3 linked regions of the Lonchura striata genome follow. The protein of the gene in region 3 interacts with the protein of the main gene of each other region in a biochemical or structural test. Links are inferred from orthologs where the notes say so. Each region holds a gene or a part of one and is shown on either strand. Other genes may lie near its edges.

What was found.
Region 1: the proteins of RNF7 (region 3) and UBE2C form a complex in vitro, tested with the Homo sapiens proteins (4 studies listed by BioGRID). The link is inferred for Lonchura striata from reciprocal best matches to the Homo sapiens genes RNF7 and UBE2C.
Region 2: the proteins of RNF7 (region 3) and UBE2S form a complex in vitro, tested with the Homo sapiens proteins (3 studies listed by BioGRID). The link is inferred for Lonchura striata from reciprocal best matches to the Homo sapiens genes RNF7 and UBE2S.

The regions. Positions count from the first base shown.
Region 1 is NC_134619.1:8,178,814-8,185,092, reverse strand, and holds UBE2C (ubiquitin-conjugating enzyme E2 C), read right to left. Parts: upstream 1,741-6,279; coding exon 1,640-1,740; intron 1,563-1,639; coding exon 1,535-1,562; intron 1,417-1,534; coding exon 1,330-1,416; intron 1,156-1,329; coding exon 951-1,155; intron 825-950; coding exon 765-824; intron 628-764; coding exon 569-627; downstream 1-568. Other genes in the region: regulator of G-protein signaling 9-binding protein-like, read left to right, coding at 1-166; DNTTIP1 (deoxynucleotidyltransferase terminal-interacting protein 1), read right to left, coding at 2,509-2,647, 2,993-3,048, 3,273-3,344, 3,633-3,693, 3,875-3,933, 4,384-4,429, 4,880-4,941, 5,189-5,245 and 2 more. UniProt on the Homo sapiens protein: Accepts ubiquitin from the E1 complex and catalyzes its covalent attachment to other proteins. In vitro catalyzes 'Lys-11'- and 'Lys-48'-linked polyubiquitination.
Region 2 is NC_134640.1:2,863,037-2,870,293, reverse strand, and holds the start of UBE2S (ubiquitin-conjugating enzyme E2 S), read left to right. Parts: upstream 1-4,189; 5' UTR 4,190-4,264; coding exon 4,265-4,267; intron 4,268-5,103; coding exon 5,104-5,127; intron 5,128-6,770; coding exon 6,771-6,918; intron 6,919-7,257. UniProt on the Homo sapiens protein: Accepts ubiquitin from the E1 complex and catalyzes its covalent attachment to other proteins. Catalyzes 'Lys-11'-linked polyubiquitination.
Region 3 is NC_134612.1:12,595,042-12,602,400, forward strand, and holds the start of RNF7 (RING-box protein 2), read left to right. Parts: upstream 1-4,323; 5' UTR 4,324-4,357; coding exon 4,358-4,535; intron 4,536-7,359. UniProt on the Homo sapiens protein: Catalytic component of multiple cullin-5-RING E3 ubiquitin-protein ligase complexes (ECS complexes), which mediate the ubiquitination and subsequent proteasomal degradation of target proteins.

The DNA.
Region 1 (6,279 bases), on a different chromosome or scaffold from region 3:
GATCGAGCAGGTGAGGGCCACGCTGGCAGAGATGGAGAGCGGAGCCAACATTCCACCATGGACAGTGGAAGCCACAGAGACCACACAGCCAGCAGAGACAAGTGGCACCACACAGAGAGCGGCCTGGGGCGGCCCCTGCGCTGGGCACTGCTGTGGGGTGCTGTGAGCTAGGGGGGCAGGAGATAGCAGCAGAGGTGACACCCCTGTCACAGAGCAGGAGACAGAGGTACCCCTACAGTCCTCAGCCCCTGCCTTTGCAGGTTATGGTGTGGGCTGCTCCCACCCTGTAGATAGAATTGCTCCAGGCCCCCAAATATTGATAAAGCTTTCATTACCCCACAGGGGTCAGTATCCCTTCCACCCTTCACGCCCACACTTGCAGAGGGGCCTCTTGGGCACTCAGGGTGTGCTAGAGCTGCCACAGAATCCCCTGCAGAAGTTATAAACCTGCATTTATTTATACATTAACCATGGCTCGGACTGCGACATTAATTTAAAAACAGCCTATGATACAGAACGCGGGGGATGGCCGGGAGGGAGGGGATGTGTTGAGGGGTGGTGGTGATGGTCAGGTCTCCTGGCTCTTGGTCTGCTTGTTGTACGTCTCCCGCACATACTTCTTGTAGGCTGAGGAAAGAGAGAACATGACACCAAGGGTCCTGAGGCAGTGGCCAGGGAGCTGTGGGGCCAGACAGGCACTGGGAGCTGTGCTGCTGCCCATCCCACTGGGGAGAGGGCAGGAGGGTTCTGCTTCAGGTACTCACCAACTTGGTTGTTCCAGAGCTCAGCAGCATGTGTGTTCAGAGGGCTCTCGATGTTTGGCTCTGGAAACAGTGGCTGCGTTAGCTGGTGACCTGGACACCCTTGAGCCCTGATCTGGGTTGGACAGCCCCACCACCACCACCACCCCTTCCCCCAGCACTCCACAGCAGTTTGTCCGCGAGACCCACCTGCCAGCAGGCTCTGTATGGAGAGCAGGATGGTGCGGACATCATAGAGCGCTGACCACTTTTCCTTGAGGATGTCGAGGCAGATGTTGCCCTGGGTGTCGACGTTGGGGTGGTAGCAGGGGGTCAGGAACCGCACGGTGGGTGCTGTGTAGGGGTACCCACTGGGGAACTCCAGTGACAGCTTGTACCGCAGCTCCTCGTAGGCCTGGGGTGAGAGTCAAGTGGGACAGGAGTCAGGGGGGGCTGTAGCCCCAGAGGTGTGGGGAAGCCTCGAAGAAAAAGAGGTACAAGGGCAATGGAGGGCTAGGAACACCCTCAGCTGAAGGGAGGAAGGTGGGGCAGGGTCAGGGCCACCTCAGACCGGGATTTCGCCTCTCACCGTCCCGGCGGCGCCGTCAATGGTCCCGATCCACTTGAAGAGGTTGTCGGACTCGGGGAAGGCAGAAATGCCTTTGTCACCGGACATCTGCGGGGGCAGCGCGTCAGGGCGGCCCGGGACGCCCCGAGACACCCCCCCAACCCAGTTCAGTCCCGGGTGCCTTTGGGATCCCCAATCCCCGGCTCGGCCCCGGGGCCCCACTCACCATCAATGCCATCAGCTCTTGCTGCAGCCTGCGGAGAAAGCGCACGTTACCGGCCGGCTCACCGGGGCCGCCCCCGCCCTCAGCCCCGGCCCCGGTTCCGCTCACCTCTTCCCCACCGCGCCGCGGGCCGCCGTGGCCCCGGTCTCAGCCGCTTTGCGGGCGGCTGCGCTGGACACGGCGGCGGGGTCGGCGTTCTGTGAGGCCATAGCGGCTCCCGGGGCACGGACCAGCACACTGGCACCGGCCGCCGCTGCCGGCGGGTCACGGGCGGGACCGGCTCCGGCTCCGGCTCCCGGGCGGCGCCGCACCGGGCTCCGCTGCTCTCTCCCTCCCTCCCGCAGTCCCGCTCGGGGCAGGACTCGGGCCCCTCTGCGGCTCCCCGGTGCCGAGCGGCGGTGCTTGGGGCTCTCCCGTGAGGCGGCGGCCCGATCCCAATCCCGTTCCAGACGGTCTCCGATTCAGGAGCGGCTGAGTGTCAAACCCCCTCGGTGCAGAGCGGCTGGGTGCCACCCCCTCTCCGGTGCAGAGCGGCTCGGTCCCAACTCCTCTCCGGTGCAGAGCGGCTGGGCCCAACCACTCTCCAGTGCAGACCGGCTCGATCCCAACTCCTCTCCGGTGCAGGAGCGGCTCAGTCCCAACCCCTCCCCGGTGCAGAGCGGCCCGGTCGCAGCCCCGGGCCCGGACACTCTCCAGTCCGCTCGTCCCGCGCGGCCCCGCCTGCTCCCGCGCCCCGTTTGAATATTTCCACGTGCGTCCCCCCCACCAATCAGCGCGCAGCCCCGTTCGAGCCGGCCAATCACGGCCCGCCGAGGATGCCGCTCCCACGGTAACGGCCGGCGGGCGCCGGCAGTGACGCTCCGCGCTCTGATTGGCCGCTGCCCCGCGGGTCCCGCCGGCCCGGACGCGGCCCGAGCCCGGTGCCCGGTGCCCGAGGAAGCGGCGAGCTGCGAGCGAAGCGGCTTTATTGGGGGGCATCAGGGTTCGGGGGGCTCCTCGGGGGCCGGCACGTCCCCCCCGCGGCGAAGCGTCTCCATGTGCTTCTGCATCTTCTCAGTCATCCAGGCTGGTGGGATGAAGGGCTTCAGCTCTTCCAGCCGCAGATCAACAGAGTCCCTGCGGAGGAACAGGGTGACATGGAGGGACACAGCACCCACTGCCGACCCACCATGTCCCCTGGCACACATCAGTACCAGGCCCAGACCCACCAAACCCACCATGAATCTCAATCAGCACTGAGCCCAAACCTACCATGGATCCCCAACCAACACCAAGTCCAAACCTCAGTTGCCCCATGGGCACCAATCCCCAACCATAACCAAGCCCCCAGCCACCATGCAGAGAGCCCCTCCAGCACGGGACGTCTCTGCAATGTAGCACTGAGGCAGGACATGGTGGGGGCCCCCCAAGAAGCAGCCTCAGGCCCAACAGCACTTTCAGAATTTCTGCTTCGGTCCTCACCTGTAATCCTCACTGGCGGCCAAATCCCGAATGTCCTCTTCAATGAGGAGGTAGGCCTGTGGCACAAGGCAGGGGACACCTCAGGGTGCCTGCGAGGGGCAGCCAGGGCAGGCCCACACCCTCAGCCACCACTGTCCCCGTGGGAGCCAGCCGTGCCTCCTGGCCCATGCCCCAGTCCTGTGGGAGGGGACAGACCTTGGCAGCGCCGTGTCCCCGTGCCCTGCCTATCCTGCCACCGCCGCCTGGCCCCGCGGCGGGCCCTGCGCCCGGCCGTACTCACCATCTTGCCCCCAATGGCCCTCATGTGCTGCTGCTCTGTCAGCCAGTGCTTATCCTGCGGGTCGGCTGCGTACTGCAATAAAGCAGCAAGGACCGAGCTGAGAACGGGCGACAGACCCTCCCCTGAAAGCCCCGCTCTGCTCTGCCCCCGCTCCGCCTGCCCTGCTCCAGCCTCAGCCCTGGCTCTGCCACCCCTGCTGCCTTGGCAGGCTGCGACACCACTGGCTAGTGTTATGTGCTATCCAAACCTTGGGAACACGATCTAAGACAACATACAAGGACATGGGGGAGGCAGTAAGCAAGGGAGCTGAAACATACATTCCTAATTCCCATGGGAAACCATCTGGCTGTGGCACCTGACCTTAAAGAGGTGGGGATGCTTGATGTAGAGTCGCCCTCTTGTTCCTCCCATCCCGAGAGCTCTGCAATAGGAACATGAGGGGTGTTAGGGCTGTGGGGAGGGCAGCTGTGGTAGCACAGGGACACCCCTCTCCTCCCCAAGCCCTTCCTACTGCTTTTGAGGCAGAGAAGCGAAGTGACGGGAGGAGTGTCACGGGCTCCTGCCTGGGGACACCACCCTCCATCGACAGGGCCGTTCCTTACTTGTTTGCTCGAGATCCCAGCACAAAGGTTGTGGTTTCAGTCAGTCGGGATGGATCCCACTACAGAGCAATTGGAAAAGGGGCAACATTAGAAATGAAGTTGCTGCTGGCCATGCTCCACAAGCCTCGGCTCTTTGACAAGGGAACCTTGGAGCTGCCTCCAGACTGGGAGGGAGGGAGCTGGCCAATGACCTCCAGCCTTCCTCAGGGGAGGGATGTTACATTCCGTCTGGGCTGATCTAAGCAGTTTCCCTCGTGGGAAACACTTGTGGGATTCTCCTGGCTACTCCCGGTCTCCTCAGGCCTCCCTCAGCGGCACCACACTGCAGGGCTACAGGCTGGGTGCCTGGGGAGACCAGCAAAGGCCTCCGGGCACTTCGCTTCCTCTTCTTGCTCCCGCCCTGCCCAAGGCCCCAGCAGGGCAGGGCACAGCCCGCGCTGTCCTGCGCTCCTGCTGGTGGGAGCAAAGGGGAGGAGAGAGGGAGCCCAGCAGTGTCGGACAGCTAATACCTTTGGTCCATCCCTTTTCACAGGCTCAGAGACTTTGAGCTTCCACCTGAGGGGAAGGAAAACACAGTAAGAATGAGTCCCAGTGGGATCAGCTTAGTCACCACCAGCAGCAGGGACTGAGCTCAAACCCTTCCAAATCCACCATTTTTTCACACCCTCCATTTCCCCACAGCGCCCGGCTTTGGACCTTCAACTTTGCTGCACATTCTCCTCTCCTGGTTGCCCAGATCCCACCATCCCCTGTGTCTCACCACTCATTCTGGATGGTCCATCTGGACCTTTTCACCCCTTTGGGCCTGTTTAAAAATCCCTCCCTTTAAGGTCTTTGCCTCCTGAGGGGAACACCTCAACCTAACCCTGCTTCTGCCCATACCCAGAAGAGCTCCCATTACTTCTCTGTAAGAGAGGAGTCTGTGGGGTTTCTGTGCTCCCCACACGCAGCCTCATTGTCCCTGCCCTCCCGAAACAGGGGCTCTAGCTCAGGGTTTGTACTCACGTTGCCATGCCTGAGACTCCACGGTCATTTGACAGGCTCTGTCCTGGAGGCCGCCCCTTCCTCTGCATGGAAGAAACCCTTCTGTGACCCAGCTGTGCTGCCTGAGGGAACCCTCTCAGCAACCCTCCCTCTCCCAGGGAAGCTGCTTCTTTTGTCACAGGCAAAAACACTGCCTGCGCCAGAGTGAGCACCTCCAACGCCTCAAAAAAGCTGCCCGTGCACCTCCCTGCACTCACACTGTGGGAATGGCCAGGAATGAGGGCCAGGCTTCCCAAAACATAAACTCTCTTGTGAAGAAAACCATCCTACCTTTTTTGGAATGGGGCTTCCTCGGCGGCTCAGCTCTTCATCCATCTGTCGGGCACGCTGGAAGGGAAGGGCAGTGGGATGAGCAGGGCTCCTCTCCCTACCTGGCCAGGTGAACACTGACCCCAGACCACCCCTGTGAGTAGCACTGAACTGCAGCAAGCAGCACCCACACCTGGGATTCTCTTTGCCCTGCATTCCCTTCAAGCCAAACATCCCCCACTCTGTCTCTGCACTACTGCACTGGCAGCCAAGAAGAGTCAGAGAACAAAGTAATCCCAACTCTTCTCCCAGCTTTCAGAAGTCATTTAAACCTCTGTGTACAATCACCACAATTACCTTTGGCACTGCCTGCTCATGGGGCAACCTGGGAACCACCTTTTTGCCATCTGAGAACAGCAGTTTGGCCTAAAGGGAGACAAAGAAGGTTCCCTGGATTCTGGGCTCAGAGAAGGCCCCATAAACAACCCCCACCTCTACATATCTGCCTAAAAACCCTGCAACAGCTTTGCTTTTGGAGTGCTACCAGGCCACGCTTCCACAGACAGCCAGATGCAAAAGCACAATTTGAGCATGATAAATTCTGGCAAACTGGCAGATAAGCAAGACATGAAAGGAAAAATCCTGGCCCACCCTGCTAGGACCTTCTGACGGGTGCTGGGGGCCAGTTTCTGTGGGACTCCAGCAGTGTGCCATGTTCCTTACAGCAGCAGTGAGAAGAAGCAGCATGAGCTGCCCAGCCCTGACTGCTCCCTTATTCCCAGAGAGAGTCACACAATGGCTGCGGATGTCCCCTCACAGTGACAGCAAAGCTGTAAAGAGGGACACATTCTAGCCAGGTTGCTTTGCTTGGCTGCACACTCAAGAGACACCTCCCCAGCACCCACCTGCTCCAGGCAGCTCCTACAGGTCTCCTGGATGAGCTGCTCTGGGTCCACCTCCTCCCCAACGTTATCACGCACGTTGATTGCTGCTGTCTGGAAAAACTGAAGAGGAGAAGGCAGGAGAGGGTGACAGCCTGCGCAGTGTCAGCTCGGCTCCTGCAGACAGGCGCGATAGCCTCGGTGGCACCGAGCTGTCCCCACGCACCTGCT
Region 2 (7,257 bases), on a different chromosome or scaffold from region 3:
CGGGGGGGTTTTGAGATTTTTTTTTTTTTTTTTTGCGGGGGGGAAAAATTTTGGGTCTCTCTGGGATTTTTTGGGGAAGAATTTTTGGGTTTTGGTTTTTTTTTTGTTTATTTATTTGGCGGGGTCCAGGAGGGGTTTTTTGGGGGGTCCCGGAGGGGTTTTTTGGGGGGGTCTCGGGGGTTTTTGGGGGTTCTCGGAGGGGTTTTTAGGGGGATTTTTGGGGGGGGTCTCAGGGGGGTTTTGGGGGTTCTCGGGGGTTTTTGGGGGGGTTTTTGGGGGGTTCTCGGAGGGGTTTTTTGGGGGGTCTCGGGGGGTTTTTGGGGGTTCTCGGAGGGGTTTTTAGGGGGGTTTTTTGGGGGGGTCTCGGGGGTGTTTTTGGGGGAGTTTTTGGGAGGGGTCTCGGGGGGGTTTTGGGGGTTCTCGGGGGGTTTTTGGGGGTTCTCGGAGGGGTTTTTAGGGGGGTCTCGGGGGATTTTTGGGGGTTCTCGGAGGGGTTTTTAGGGGGGTCTCGGGGGATTTTTGGGGTGGTTTTTAGGGGGGTCTCGGGGAGGTTTTGGGGGGAGTCTCGGGGGTTTTTTGGGGGTTCTCGGAGGGGTTTTTGGGGGGGTCTCGGGGGGTTTTTGGGGTGGTTTTTCGGGGGGTCTCGGGGGGTTTTTGGAGGGGAATTTTCCCCCCCCGACCCCCCGTTTCCTCCCCTCCCCAGACTGGCGGGTGCCCCCCCCCGCCCCCCTGAGCTGCTCCCGCTCCTTCCACAACCTCTCGCACCCCCCCCCGCCCTACGAGAGCCCCCCCCGGGCCGACGGCGCCCGCTGGGCCTCGCTGCGCCGCCTGGGTGAGCCCCCCGACCCAAAACACCCAAAATGCCCTGAAACCCCCCCAAAAAATCCCAAAAACCTCGATGAAATACCCCCAAAACCCCAAAATCCACCCCAAAAACCCCAACCCCCCAGAATCCCCCAAAACCCCCCCGAAAAACATCCTAAAATCCCCCAAACCACCCCAAAATTACCCAAAATCCCCTAAACCCCCCAAAACTTCTTGAATCCCCCCAAACTCCCCCAACCTGCCCCAAAACCCCCCCAAATCCCCCAAACCACCCAAATTTCCCCAAACTCCCCCAAATTCCCCCAAATTCCCCCAATCTGCCCCAAGCCCCCCCCAAATACCCCAAACTCCCCCAATCTCCCCCAGACTTCCCCAATCTGCCCCAAGGCCCTCCCAAATCCCCCAACCCCCCCCCAAATTCCCCCAATCTGCCCCAAGACCCCCCCAAATACCCCAACACCCCCCCAAATTCCCCCAAACTCCCCCAATCTGCCCCAAGACCCCCCCCCAAATCCCCCAAAAGACCCAAATTTCCCCAAACTCCCCCAAATCCCCCAAATTCCCCCAAACTCCCCCAATCTGCCCCAAACCCCCCCCAAATCCCCCAAGACACCCAAATTTCCCCAAACTCCCCCAAATCCCCCAAATTCCCCCAAATCCCCCAAACTCCCCCAATCTCCCCCAATCTGCCCCAAATCCCCCCCGAATTCCCCCCATTAACCCTTTCCTCCCCTCCCCGCAGCCGACCGGGAGCTGGAGGATTTCGGGGGTCCCTGGGGCCCCCCCTGGGGCGCTGCCCCGCCCCCCCGGGGCACGCTGCCCCTCCCCCCGCCCCGGGGCCGCCGGGTCCTGTCCCAGGAGTTTTTGGGGGGCGGGGGCGGGACCCTGCCCCGGAACCGGCCCCGCCGCCCCCCCCTGTCCCACGCCGCCTCCCAGAGCAGCCTCGGCCCGGCGGGGGGAGGGGCGGCCTCCCCGCCCCCCCCCCACGCCCCGCCGCCCCTCCCCCACCACCCGCCGCCCCCCGGGACCCCCTTCTCGCCGCCCGCGGGGCCCGGGGCGCGGCGGGCGCTGTTCGGGGGGCGGCGGCAGAGCACGGCCGAGCTGCAGCTGCTGCCGGGACCCCCGCCCGCCCCCGCGCCGCCGCCCCCGCCCCAGCAGCCGCCGCCCCTGCCGCCGCACCGGCTGCGCACCGGGAGCCGCACCGAGGTGACGGTGTGAGCGCGAGGGGAGTCGGCGGGGAAAGGGTTAAAAATCCGGGGGGAAAGGGTTAAAAAATCCGGGGGGAAAGGGTTAAAAAATCCGGGGGGAAATCGGCGGGGAAAGGGTTAAAAATCCGGGGGGAAAGGGTTAAAATATCCGGGGGGAAAGGGTTAAAAAATCCGGGGGGAAATCGGCGGGGAAAGGGTTAAAATCCTGGGGAGAAAGGGTTAAAATAGCCGGGGGGGAAATCGGCGGGGAAAGGGTTAAAAATCCGGGGGAGAAAGGATTAAAATATCCGGGGGGGAAAGGGTTAAAAAATCCGGGGGGAAATCGGCGGGGAAAGGGTTAAAAATCCGGGGGGAAAGGGTTAAAAATCCGGGGGAGAAAGGGTTAAAAAATCCGGGGGGAAAGGGTTAAAAAATCCGGGGGAAAAGGGTTAAAAAATCCGGGGGGAAAGGGTTAAAAAATCCGGGGGAAAAGGGTTAAAAAATCCGGGGGGAAAGGGTTAAAAAATCCAGGGGGAAAGGGTTAAAAAATCCGGGGGGAAAGGGTTAAAAATAGGGGAAAGCTGCGGGGAAAGGGTTAAAAATGGGGGGAAATGGTGAAAATTGGTGAAAAGGACAAAAATTGGGGGGGAAAGGGTTAAAAATGGGGGGAAAAATTAAAATAGGGGGAAAAGGACAAAATTGGGGGGAAATGGTGAAAATGGAGGGAAAGGGTTAAAAATGGGGGGAAAGGACATAAATTGGGGGGAAAAGGTTAAAATTGGGGGGAATTGTGAAAATTGGGGGGAAATGGTTAAAAATGGGGGGAAAGGGTTAAAAATGGGGGGAAATGGTGGAAATTGGGGAAAAGGTTAAAATTGGGGGAAAGGCGAAATTCGAGGTGGGAATTGGGGCAGAAAAAGCAGAAAATGGCGGCGAGCCCCGGCCCGGAGATTTGGGGGAAATCCCCGGGAATTCGGGACATTCCCCCCCCCGATGACGTCACACCCCCGCGATGATGTCACACATCACAACATGGCAGCTGGTGACGTCACAGCCCCGCCCCGGCGGCGCCGATGACGTCACACCCCAACTATGATGTCACACCCCCGCGGCCAATGACGTCACAGCCCCTCACGCAATGACGTCACGGCCGCCCCGCCCCCACCCCCGAGCAGCCGATGATGTCACAGCTCCGCCCGATGACGTCACGCCGCCCCGATGACGTCAGCACTGTGGATTCCCCCTCCCCCCGCAGGACGTCACGACGAGGGGCGGGGCCACCCGACGATGACGTCACCGATCACGGCCAAGGCCCCGCCCCTTCCCCCCAGTCACGATGACGTCACGGCGGGCTGGGCCCGCCGGTGACGTCACACATCCGCAAACCCCGCCCCTCCCCGATGACGTCACGCCCGCACCGAAGCCATAGGGGGGGAGGGGATGACCCCGTGACCCCCCCGTGACCCCCCGTGACCCCGTGACCTCCCCGTGACCCCCACGTGCCTTAGAGCCCCGCCCCCCGCCCCGCCCCCGCCCCGGGGGGGGGAGGGAATAAAGTGACGTTTCCTGCCCCCCCCGCCTCGCTTTTGGGGCCATTTCGGGGGATTTTGGGGAAAATTGGGGGGGCGGGGCTTTGGGGAGGGGGCGGGGCTTGTTGGGGGGGATTTTGGGGGGATTTTCTCGTCCCCCTCAAACGCCGCGCTCTGATTGGCCGCTCCGCCTGCCAATAACGCCGAGCCCCGCCTCCCGGAAGTCCCGCCCCGCGGCCGGATCCCCACTTCCCATTGGCCGGCGTGCCCGCCAATCCCCGCCGTTCAAACCGGCGGCCCCGCCCCTTTCCGCCGACCGTTACGGCGCAAACAACGCGCCCGGGCCCCGCCCCCTTCTCCTGCCCCCCTCGCGGCTCCGCCAATCAGCGCGCACTGCCCGCCTTCTCCCTCGCTCCCCATTGGCCGCCCCGCGCGCCGCGCGGCGCTGATTGGTCGCTCCGCGCGGCGGGCGGGGGCCGCGCGCGGCCGAGGTTATAAAGGCGGCGGCGCGGCGGAGCGGCCCCCTCAGCGCGGCGGGCGGGCGGCGGCGCCGGAGGTGGGAGCGCGCTGCCGGGGGAGGGGACAGGGGGCGCCCCCCGGCCTCCCCCCTGCCCGAGGGGTCAGCCCCGCGCCCCGGGACCCCGCTCCGGACCGGGAGGAACCGCCTGGGAGCCGCTGCCCCCTCGGGGCCAGCCCCGCGCGGCCGGGGCCCAGCCCGGCGCCATGGTGAGGGAGGCCCGGGGCGGCGCGGGGCGTCCTGAGGGATTTCTGTGGGATTGCAGAAAATTCCGGGAGTCCCGAGGGGGGCTGGGGCGCTCGAGGGGATTTTTGGGGCATTTGAGGCGGCTTGGGGGTCCTGAGGGGATCCTGGGGGTCCTGAGGAGATCCTGGGCGCATTTCAGGGAATTTTGGGCGTCCTGAGAGCATTTTGGCGGTGCTGAGGGGATTTTTTGAGGGAGTTTGGGGGTCCTGAGGGGATTTGGGGTTCCTGAAAGGATCTTTGAGGAATTTGAGGGGATTTTGGGGGAATTTGAAGGAGTTTGGGGGGGGTCCTGAGAGGATTTGGGGGATTTGAGGGGATTTTGGGGCTCCTGAGAAGATTTTAGAATCCTGAGGGGATTTTTTGTGGGATTTGAGGGGGTTTGGGGGTCCTGGGTGGGTTTTGGGGGGATTTGAGGAGATTTTGGGATCCTGAGGGGATTTTGGGGGGATTTGGGGGTCCTGAGGGGATTTGGGGAGTTCTGAGGGATTTTTAGGGGATTTGGGTGAAGTTTGTGGAGCTTTGAAGGAATTTGGGGGATTTTCTGTCGATTTGGGGCGAATTGAGGGAGTTTGGAGGCGAAACTTGGGGGATTTGGGGAGGTTTTGAGATAAACGTTGGGAGTTTTGGGGTACTGTGTGTTTGGGTTGAATTTTGGGGAAATTTTGGGAGTTTTGGGGAGGATTTGGGGCGCTGTGAGTTTGGGGGAGCTGCTGAGGGATTTTTGGGGGGGATTAGTGGGAATTTGGGGCTTTTTGAGGTCTCCCCACCCCAAATTCACCCCAAATTTTTGCCTCCCCAGGAGCCCCGAGGCGGCGCTTGGCAGGTGAGTCCCCGATTTTGGGGATCCTTTTCCCTTTTTAACCATTTCTAGGTAAATTTAACATTTCTGGGGGCTCAGTCTCAGTTTTGGGTGATTTTCCCCCGTTTTTGGCACTTGTTAATTCTTAGCAGGAAGTGAACTCCAGATTTTGCGGATCCTTTTCACTTTTTAACCATTCCCAGGTGAATTTAGCATTTCAGGGGATTCACTTTCTCATTTTTGTGTGATTTTCACCCAGTTTTGGCACTTTTAATTCCTAGCAGGAAGGAGATGATTTTGGGTTTCCCCTCCCAGGGAAATCCCCGATTTTGGGATCCTTTTCCCTTTTTAACCATTTCAAGGTGAATTTAACATTTCAGGGGGTTCAGTCTTTCATTTTGGGTGAGTTTCCCCCGATTTTGGCACTTTTTAATTCCTAGCAGGAAGCGAACTCCAGATTTTGGGATCCTTTTCCCTTTTTAACCATTCCCAGGTGAATTTAGCTTTTCAGGGGATTCACTCTCTCATTTTTGGGTGATTTTCCCCCGATTTTGGCACTTTTTAATTCCTAGCAGGAAGTGAACTCCAGGTTTTGGGGATCCTTCTCCCTTTTTTAACCATTCCCAGGTGAATTTAAACATTTCAGGAGGGTTCACTCTCATTTTTGGGTGATTTTCCCCGATTGTCACTTTTTTCTTCCTGCTCAGATTTAGTAGCAAGGGGGTGATCTTGGGGTCTCCCCTCGGGGGTAAATCCCAGATTTTGGGGATCCCTTTCCCTTTTTAACCCTTTCCAGCTGGTTTAACCCTTTCCCAGCTGGTTTTAACCCTCTGGGAGGGTTCCATCTCCCACTTCTGGGCCGTTTTCTGCAAATCTCTCCCTGCCTTCTCTCCACTTCTCCTCTGCTCCATTCTGGGGGTGCTCCCCCAGTTTTTGGGGTGCCCCTGGCCCCCCAAATCTCCCCCAGACCCCCGAGGCCGAGCACCTTTTCCCCCAGCGTTATCAGGGTCTGGGTCACCCCAGTTTTGGGTTTTTGGGGTGCCCCTGACCCCCGTTTTTGCCCCCAGACCCCCGAGGCCGAGAACCTTCTCCCCCAGGGATGTCCTGGTTTGGGGTACCCCAATTTTGGGTTTTTGGGGTGCCCCTGACCCCCCAAATCTCCCCCAGACCCCCGAGGCCGAGAACCTGCCCACCCCAGGGTTATCTGGGTCTGGGTTACCCCAATTTTGGGTTTTTGGGGTGCCCCTGACCCCCGTTTTTGCCCCCAGACCCCCGAGGCCGAGAACCTGCCCACCACAAGGATATCTGGGTCTGGGGTACCCCAGTTTTGGGTTTTTGGGGTGCCCCTGACCCCCAAATCTCCCCCAGACCCCCGAGGCCGAGAACCTTCTCCCCCAGGGTTATCAGGGTCTGGGTCACCCCAGTTTGGGGTTTTTGGGGTGCCCCTGACCCCCAAATCTCCCCCAGACCCCCGAGGCCGAGAACCTGCCCACCACAAGGATATCTGGGTCTGGGGTACCCCAGTTTTGGGTTTTTGGGGTGCCCCTGACCCCCCAAATCTCCCCCAGACCCCCGAGGCCGAGAACCTTCTCCCCCAGGGTTATCAGGGTCTGGGTTACCCCAATTTTGGGTTTTTGGGGTGCCCCTGACCCCCAAATCTCCCCCAGACCCCCGAGGCCGAGAACCTGCCGCCGCAGGCGCTGCGGCTGCTGTGCCGCGAGGTGGCGCTGCTGAGCGCCGACCCCCCCGACGGCATCCGGCTGTTCCCCAACGAGCAGGACCTGAGCGACCTGCAGGTGGCCATCGAGGGGCCGGGTGAGCACCCCGAAAACGGGGGTCCCCAAATCCTGGGGGGTCCCGGGAACCCTGGGGGATCCCCGAAACCCTGGGGGGAATCCGGGAATCCTGGGGGGAATCATCCCTGAGCGACCTGCAGGTGGCCATCGAGGGGCCGGGTGAGCACCCCCAAATCCTGGGGGGTCCCGGGAACCCTGGGGGGGTCCCTGACACCCTGGGGGGATCCCTGACACCCTGGGGGGATCCCCAAAGTCCTGGGGGGAATCACCCCTGAGCGACCTGCAGGTGGCCATCGAGGGGCCGGGTGAGCACCCCCAAATCCTGGGGGGTCCCGGGAACCCTGGGGGAATCCTGAAA
Region 3 (7,359 bases):
TATTTTGTGTATTCCTGGGATTCATCATAATATAATAAACAATGTTAAAAAAAATTCATTTCAGAGTTGAAGAGCAGAGTTGTAAGAATTGGGAATATAGTCTATAATTCAGCTAAATTACTTAGAAAGGCACTTTATGTACCTAAATCAGGGACCAAAACATTGATAATTAGTTGCTTTACAATGAGAATAAGATTTTAAAAGATCCAGTAGCTACAGTGTTGAGGAAAGGCTGTGCTTTGTAAGCATTTAATTAGAGAAATTAAGAATTTTAATTACATATAAGAATAATTTGGGTAATTTTTTAATAAAAGCAAATATATGACCTTGCTGAAATGCTTCTAAAATACTATTTATGTTAATAAATGTTTATGATAAATAATAAAATTCATCCACCTTGCTTAACACAATTTTCCATAGAAAATCTTGTATGATCAAGATTTTTCAGTGTTTGAGTCCATTATTATTTTAGCATAATTACTATTGCAAATGCCATGGCAGTTGTATGAAGTCTAGTTAACAATTTCACCAAAGAGGACGTAAATAATTATACCAATTTTAGAAACTTTATTGATCCAAACAATTAGTTTGCTTTAAGGGGCAGTGAATTTGTTCCCCACTTTCATCTTTTATTTTTGGTCATTCCTCGTACACAGGGGGGAAAAAGCCGAGAGGATCATAGAACAGCCAAGTAAACCTACTGTGTGACTTGAATTCAAGACTTAAAGGTAAAAATCTCTTACCTGGTCCCTCTGATTTCTCCAGAGATCTGGGATGTGCTGTGCTTTGTGGTGGCAAAGAGCAGCAGGGACAGGCTGATGTGTGTATCCTGGGCTGCAGAGGCTCCAGAGGGTCACTCGCTGCAGCAGCTGCTGAGAGCTCAGCTGGAGCTCCTGGGTTCAGCTCAGCCCTCGCTGGGACACTGCTGCTGCAGGATACAGAAACGAGCCTGGAAAAAGCAGGGAGCAGAGACAAAATGAGTAAGAAGGAAACTCCCCTTTAAGAATCAAGTGATCCAGAGTAATGCAGTAATACAGACCTGACAATTAGCTGCAGCTTTCATCCACAGACCTTTAAAGTACTCAATGAAAGAAGGGGGAAGTACCTACAATTCAGTCTCCCCATACTGGGTAACAGAAGGCACTATGCTTTGTATAGCAATGCAAATTTGAAAAGTTCCAGAGGAAAGATAGAACATTTTGAAACACAAAACAATGATTTCTGTGACAGCCAAAATAATTAATCTAGTTTTCTCCTGAGTAACTCCAGCTGAGTTCTTCCATTCTGTCATGGTGTGACATTTATAACTGTTTGTTATTATTATTTTTATATATACTTGAATTTTAAATGCATATTTTTGTCACTACCTTGGCCAAAATCTAAAAATAGAAAAGTAGGTCAAGGTAAAAAAAAGTTGTGACATGGTACACAGGATATAACATCTGCAAAGGTGAATAATGAGAAGATAAAGTTCCCCTGTGCAACACCTTCCAGTAATTTAAATATGTGAGTAAAGGGAGTTTCTATAGGCAAGTTACATGGCTTCTCTTGGTAGTGTTTTTATTTTTGTGGTTTTAGGGATTTTTTTGCGGAGCGGAGGTCTGGTGTGGATTGGAGGGCTGGATTTTCTAAGAGTGGCTTTTTTGGGGTCCATCCTGATACTAGGCAGGATCCAAATATCAGGGATTTTAAAAATAGTAAGGCAAACTGTACTACCTCACAAATTTATAGGAAGTGTCCATATTTCAAAATAGATGGGGGCTGTGCCCCTGCACAACAACTGAACAACATCATTTGGTTTCCAGGTTTCAATTCAGAATGCAGGTCCATTCTCAAACAGCTAACTACAGTTAAAATAGGGAAAATTTTATCTTCATAGGTTTTCTAAATTAAAGAATGGATATGAGATAGACATCTAACCTGAAAATCAGCACTGCTCAGAGGTAATAGTAATAGCTGAGTTTTACTCCAGAGTAAAATAATTAGCAAACAAAAACACAGTATAGAATTTCATAAAGCAGTCAGGAGTCTTTGTGTCACTGGTTTTTAATGTCTGCTGCAGAAGGAAAGATGGATGAGCTAGGGTGTTGTGTGAAGAATGGAGAAGTTCCAAGGGTTTAGACTTGATTAAAGCAGCTCAGCAAAGTCAGGATCTCTTTAGTCTCTTGTGACACAGGGTTTTCCATTGAAGCAGAGAGGTTCCTGTGCAGAAGTTAAGGGGATTTTTTTCATAACTTCTGTAAGGATTTCCCTTCTGTGTATTATGTGTCATTAACGTTCTTTTGTTTCACTTGAAGAGTAAAGCACAATGCACTTAAGAATTGGAATTATTGCTACTTCTCAGTCTTTGAGCTCATTCCTGGACTTTTATGAAGTTCATGCCAAATCAAATAGATCTATAGGAATATGGGGATCCCTTTGCTATGCTGTGCAGCAATATATTTGTGTGATTTCTTCCCATCCAGTGAGATCCTCCCAGTGCAAAAGCAGGCAGTTTATTCCACTAATACATTGTTTCCCTAACTCCTATTGTGATTTCTGCGTATTTCTGCATGCCTGCTATATGCTTCTGTTTCATAGAAACTGTACCTGTCAGCATTGAAGTCTGTTTTCCATTTTGGCAATTGCACCTGGCAGATTCAGTAAAGCCTTAGGAGCTGCTACAGGTGGGTTTGTCACAAGCGGTGACAAACTGTTCCCTGTGCTGTCTTCCTCTTGCACCCCCACTGTAGCCAAGTCTCAGCCCTACTGGCCATTAGTAGACCCATGTAGCATATTCCTGTTGGGAAAGAGGCACAGAGAGATGCAGATAACCAGAGTTTAAGAAATAGTTTTGGTAGAGACTTAAGCTTAAATTGTTTTCTTTGGCAGATAAATTGACACGGTCCTCAAGTGTTTTGATATATGTTAATCTATTGACAGAACAAACAGTAAGTGGAATAATACAGTCCAGTACATGCATCAGTTGGCCAAGATAAACACATGCTTACATAACTGTTCTTTGCATTATCATAAAACTGACATTTTTGTCAAGGCTTTGTTTTTAATAAAAATAATTTTCACAGAATCATAGAATCACTAGGTTGGAAGAGACCTTCAAGATCATTGAGTCCAACCCATGCCCTAACACCTAAACTAAACCATGGCACTGAGAGCCACATCCAGTCTTTTTTAAACACATCCAGGAATGGTGGCTCCACCACCTTGTGGCTGCAGGGGATAGGTGAGTTACAGACTGCCAGAACTACTTCTCAAAAACGGCTTGGAATTTTTCTTACACAGCTCTTTAGCTGATAAAATAGCAAGAAAATAATTTTTAGGTAGGAAGCTATCACTTATTTCTCTAAGGCAGTATGGAGAGAGTCAAAGTGCCTGTGTCATATTTGCTCTACTTTCACAGCTAATGTAAATGGAGTTTATATTTGACTTTGCATCGTGTACAGCACATGTATGATGGTTTGACAGCACTCAAACACAATTATAATATCTGACATAATTTGCCCTTAGAATCTTAGAACTGAAGAATTGCATCATTTAGGGATACAAGGCAAATTGTATAAATCTAAAAGCCCCAAAACTCCAACAGAATTTTTTTCCCTTTTTTTAAAATCTCTGTTTAGAGGTAGTTGACATTTTACACAGCAGAAATGAAATGTACTTAATTTTTAAAAAAATATTTTAAACTTTCTGGATTACATCTAGTCCTAGTAATTGAAATCAGAAATGCCCTGATGGTTTTTAAAATGGACAGAAAAGAATGATGAGATAAAGGAGTGGAGCTGGCAAAGGGAATTGAACAGTGTGGATCGAGAGAAGTGTGATTCAGCCAGGCTAAAAGGCTTTATTAACATGCTGCTTAACAGTGTTCAAGGTGCTTCTGAATTGATAGTTGAGTAATGTGCAAACATGCAATCTTTAATACAATTTTTATTTTTTACTTTCTTACGAAGGTGGCCAAGGTGCACGCCACCGCAGAGGTGTTTCACTTGTTCTGTCAGCAGTCCTAGGAAACGTGTTGCGTTGGACGACTGGGTCTTCTCCCCCACACTCCCGGCAGCCCGGACCAAGGGTGAGGTCGGGATTGCTGCACTTGCGCTCTGCGAAGGAGAACATCCTTCGTCAGCAATGCCAGCCTGGCACTGCGGGTGTCCCGGTGGAACGCCAGCGGTGCCCGAGGGCTCCGAGGGCTCCGAGGGCTCCGAGGGCTCCGAGGGCTCTGAGGGCTCTGAGGGCTCTGAGGGCTCCGAGGGCTCCTCGCCCCGCGGGCCCGGCCCGCGCCGCCGCCGCCGTGCCGCTCCCGCCGCCGCCGGAGGGTGGCGCTGCCGCCCGCGCGGCCGCCGGTCCCCGCCCCTCCGCCATGGCCGATGTGGAGGACGGGGACGAGCCCGGCGCCCCCCACTCGCTGCCGGGCTCCGCGGGCTCCAAGGCGGGCGCCCCCGACAAGATGTTCTCGCTGAAGAAGTGGAATGCGGTGGCCATGTGGAGCTGGGACGTGGAGTGCGACACCTGCGCCATTTGCCGGGTGCAGGTCATGGGTAAGCGGCGGCCGGGCCGCCATGGCCGCGGGCGGGGGGCCGGGGCCGGGCCTGGGGCCGTGCCTGCCGCCCCGGGCACGGCGGGCGCCGGGCACAGACGCGGTTTCCGGCAGAAGGGGGGGCTGATCCCTCCCGCCTCCGCTTCCTCCTCCGCGCCTTCCCGGAGGAGGAGGAGGAGGGCCCCGCGGGGGCCGGGCCGCTGCGCTGCGGGGCCACAGGCGGCCCTGTCGGGCAGCGAGAGCCCCCCGGCCCGGCCCTGCCCGGCCCTGCCCGGCCCGGCCCTGCCCTGCCCGGCCCGGCCCTGCCCTGCCCTGCCCGGCCGAGCCCTGCCCTGCCCGGCCCGGCTCTGCCCGGCCCTGCCCTGCCCGGCCCTGCCCTGCCCTGCCCTGCCCGGCTCTGCCCTGCCCTGCCCTGCCCGGCCCTGCCCTGCCCGGCCCGGCTCTGCCCTGCCCGGCCCTGCCCGGCCCGGCTCTGCCCGGCCCGGCCCTGCCCGGCCGAGCCCTGCCCTGCCCGGCCCGGCCCTGCCCGGCCGGGCCGCGCCGTGACCCGTGCGGTGCCGGCTTCGTCATGAGGGCAAATCCGCAAGCACGGACTTAGAGCCCAGCTGAAGCCAGTGCTGCATGCGTGGGGCTGCTCTTTATGGGGTGGGTTTTGTTAAGGGTTTTTTTTTTTCTACGAAGCAGTTACAGATGTACGTAAAAATTGATTTTTCAAATCTGTTAAACCAGGGTGTCAGACTCTACTTCGCAAGCGTGATTGCTGGTGCAGTTTAACACACACAAATGTACTGAGAAATTTAGTGAGTAAGGGGTTAATTTACTTGGTTTTGAAACCCAGAGACTGTTTGAAAGCACCTTCATTGTTAACTCATATTACTGTTTTCTGACATCTTTGTCAAATATGAGATTTATCTTAGTTCTTCAAAAGCGGTTTAAATTCTTCCTTTACTGTGTGTGCAGGTCCAGCTTTTACAATTATTTTGGACTGAGTCATCCTAGGTGTAGCTGTCCTCGCAGTTGGGTCTGCAGCACGTCGGCAGGACAAATGACCCAAAGTTCCCGCCAGAGCACCTAGTTTTTGTAGGGCCAGGAACCCTGATACTGAAAATGAAATCAGCATTTGGTTTAACATAAATGAGGCAAAATATACCATTCTGTCATTTCTCCTAAATAATTTTGCTGGGAACTTTCTCTGGAACAGAGGAGGCAGAAGGGTGTACAAGTAAACAGAGACCACTCTGGAAATATGAAATTGTCTTCATTTGCCATTTAAACCATAATTTTAAAAATGCATTTGTCCCCATTGTAAGCTAGGCTGTTACAGAACACTATAAAAAAAGTCTTAAATTAAAATCTTACCCAGAGCTATTATAAAAGTTTAAAAAAAAAAAGTCTTAATTTTTTAATTGCTAGACCAAGGGAGTACTTTTAATCTGAAACTAGAAAAAAAAATCTGAAAAAAACTAGTAACCGTTTTTTGGGAACAAACCACATTGTTAGAATGTGAAATTTGATGATTACTGACTTCAGTTTAGCAGTTCTGTGTTGACCCTGCCAGAGCGGGTCTGGCTCCTGTAGAGCCACTGCGTCTGCAGTAACCTTAGGTGGGGGCAGTGCCAGACTGAGACTGGCACTTGTTGAAGGTTAGTTTGACTTTTGCAGGGAAGGAGGTGTTAGCTGGCTCCATTTTCTGCTGGTTTAACTCGTTCACCCAAGGTAGTTTTAGATGCACAAGAGAAAGGGACAAAAATGCAGGTGTTAGCTGGGAAGCACAGGATTGCAGCTGGACTGGCTTTGCTGTCCTTAGCCTTTCAGACTGACCCCCATCTGTGGGGTTATGATGTGGGAGTGGGGACAGGTTACTTTGGTGTGGTGGCAGTGATTTCTGTCCTTGGCTCTCTGTGCTGCTTCTGTCTGAAGCTGCAACTCTAGGGCTCAATAGGGCAGCTGATTTATTGTGAGTTTCTGCTGTGACCCTGGATCAGGGGGCTCCCACACACCATGATACGAGTTGAAGCACTTTGGCTGAATCCTCCCAGCACCTTAGCCCCTAACTGGTGTTGAAATACGAATTTTAGGGACAGACAACACAAAAGTTTTGCTTTTGTCTCAATGAAGAAAGGGCAGCTGTTTTAGAGTTCTCTCTTCTTTGTTCTCTATTACCTGAGAAAAGGAGGAATGTCTAGGCAGTTCAACCTAATATACAAATACTGGCCTTATCTGGCAGAGACTGCAAAAATACTCAAATCTAAATTCCTGTAGCACATTAGAGTTTTGTCTTTTGGGAGAATATGGTCCAGCCAGTGACATGTAAGCCAGATTCAACCGGCAGGACACTTGTTTAAGTGTCCACATTTCTTTGGAAGAGATAAAGATGTGTTTGCTCACATAACAGTTGAACATTTTCTGTTGTGCATGATCCGTGCACGTGTGTCTGTGGCAGCCCAAGTTGGGGCAAAGGAGAAGCAAAGGTACTTTTCCACTGCATTGTGTGGCACAGTGGGAAGCCTGGAAGTTGTCACTCTTGTATCTTATTGAGTCCTGGAGCTGCCATCCAATCTTAAAGCCACAGACTGGAGTGAATAAAGATGATAAATATTTTTAATTAGATATTGTTCTGTATTTATTAACATATATTATCAAATGTACCACTATATTTGTATGTGTGTGACTCCTGTGAAAATTAGATGCAGGTACTTGTCAAGGGAGGCTACTATAAAGAGTAATAGGTGGTGGGAGTTGTGGTGAGAGATGCACAGCCTAGAAAAATCAAAATTGTGAATGACTTCCTTAAAAGGAAATGCTGACATCTGAAAAACAAAGTC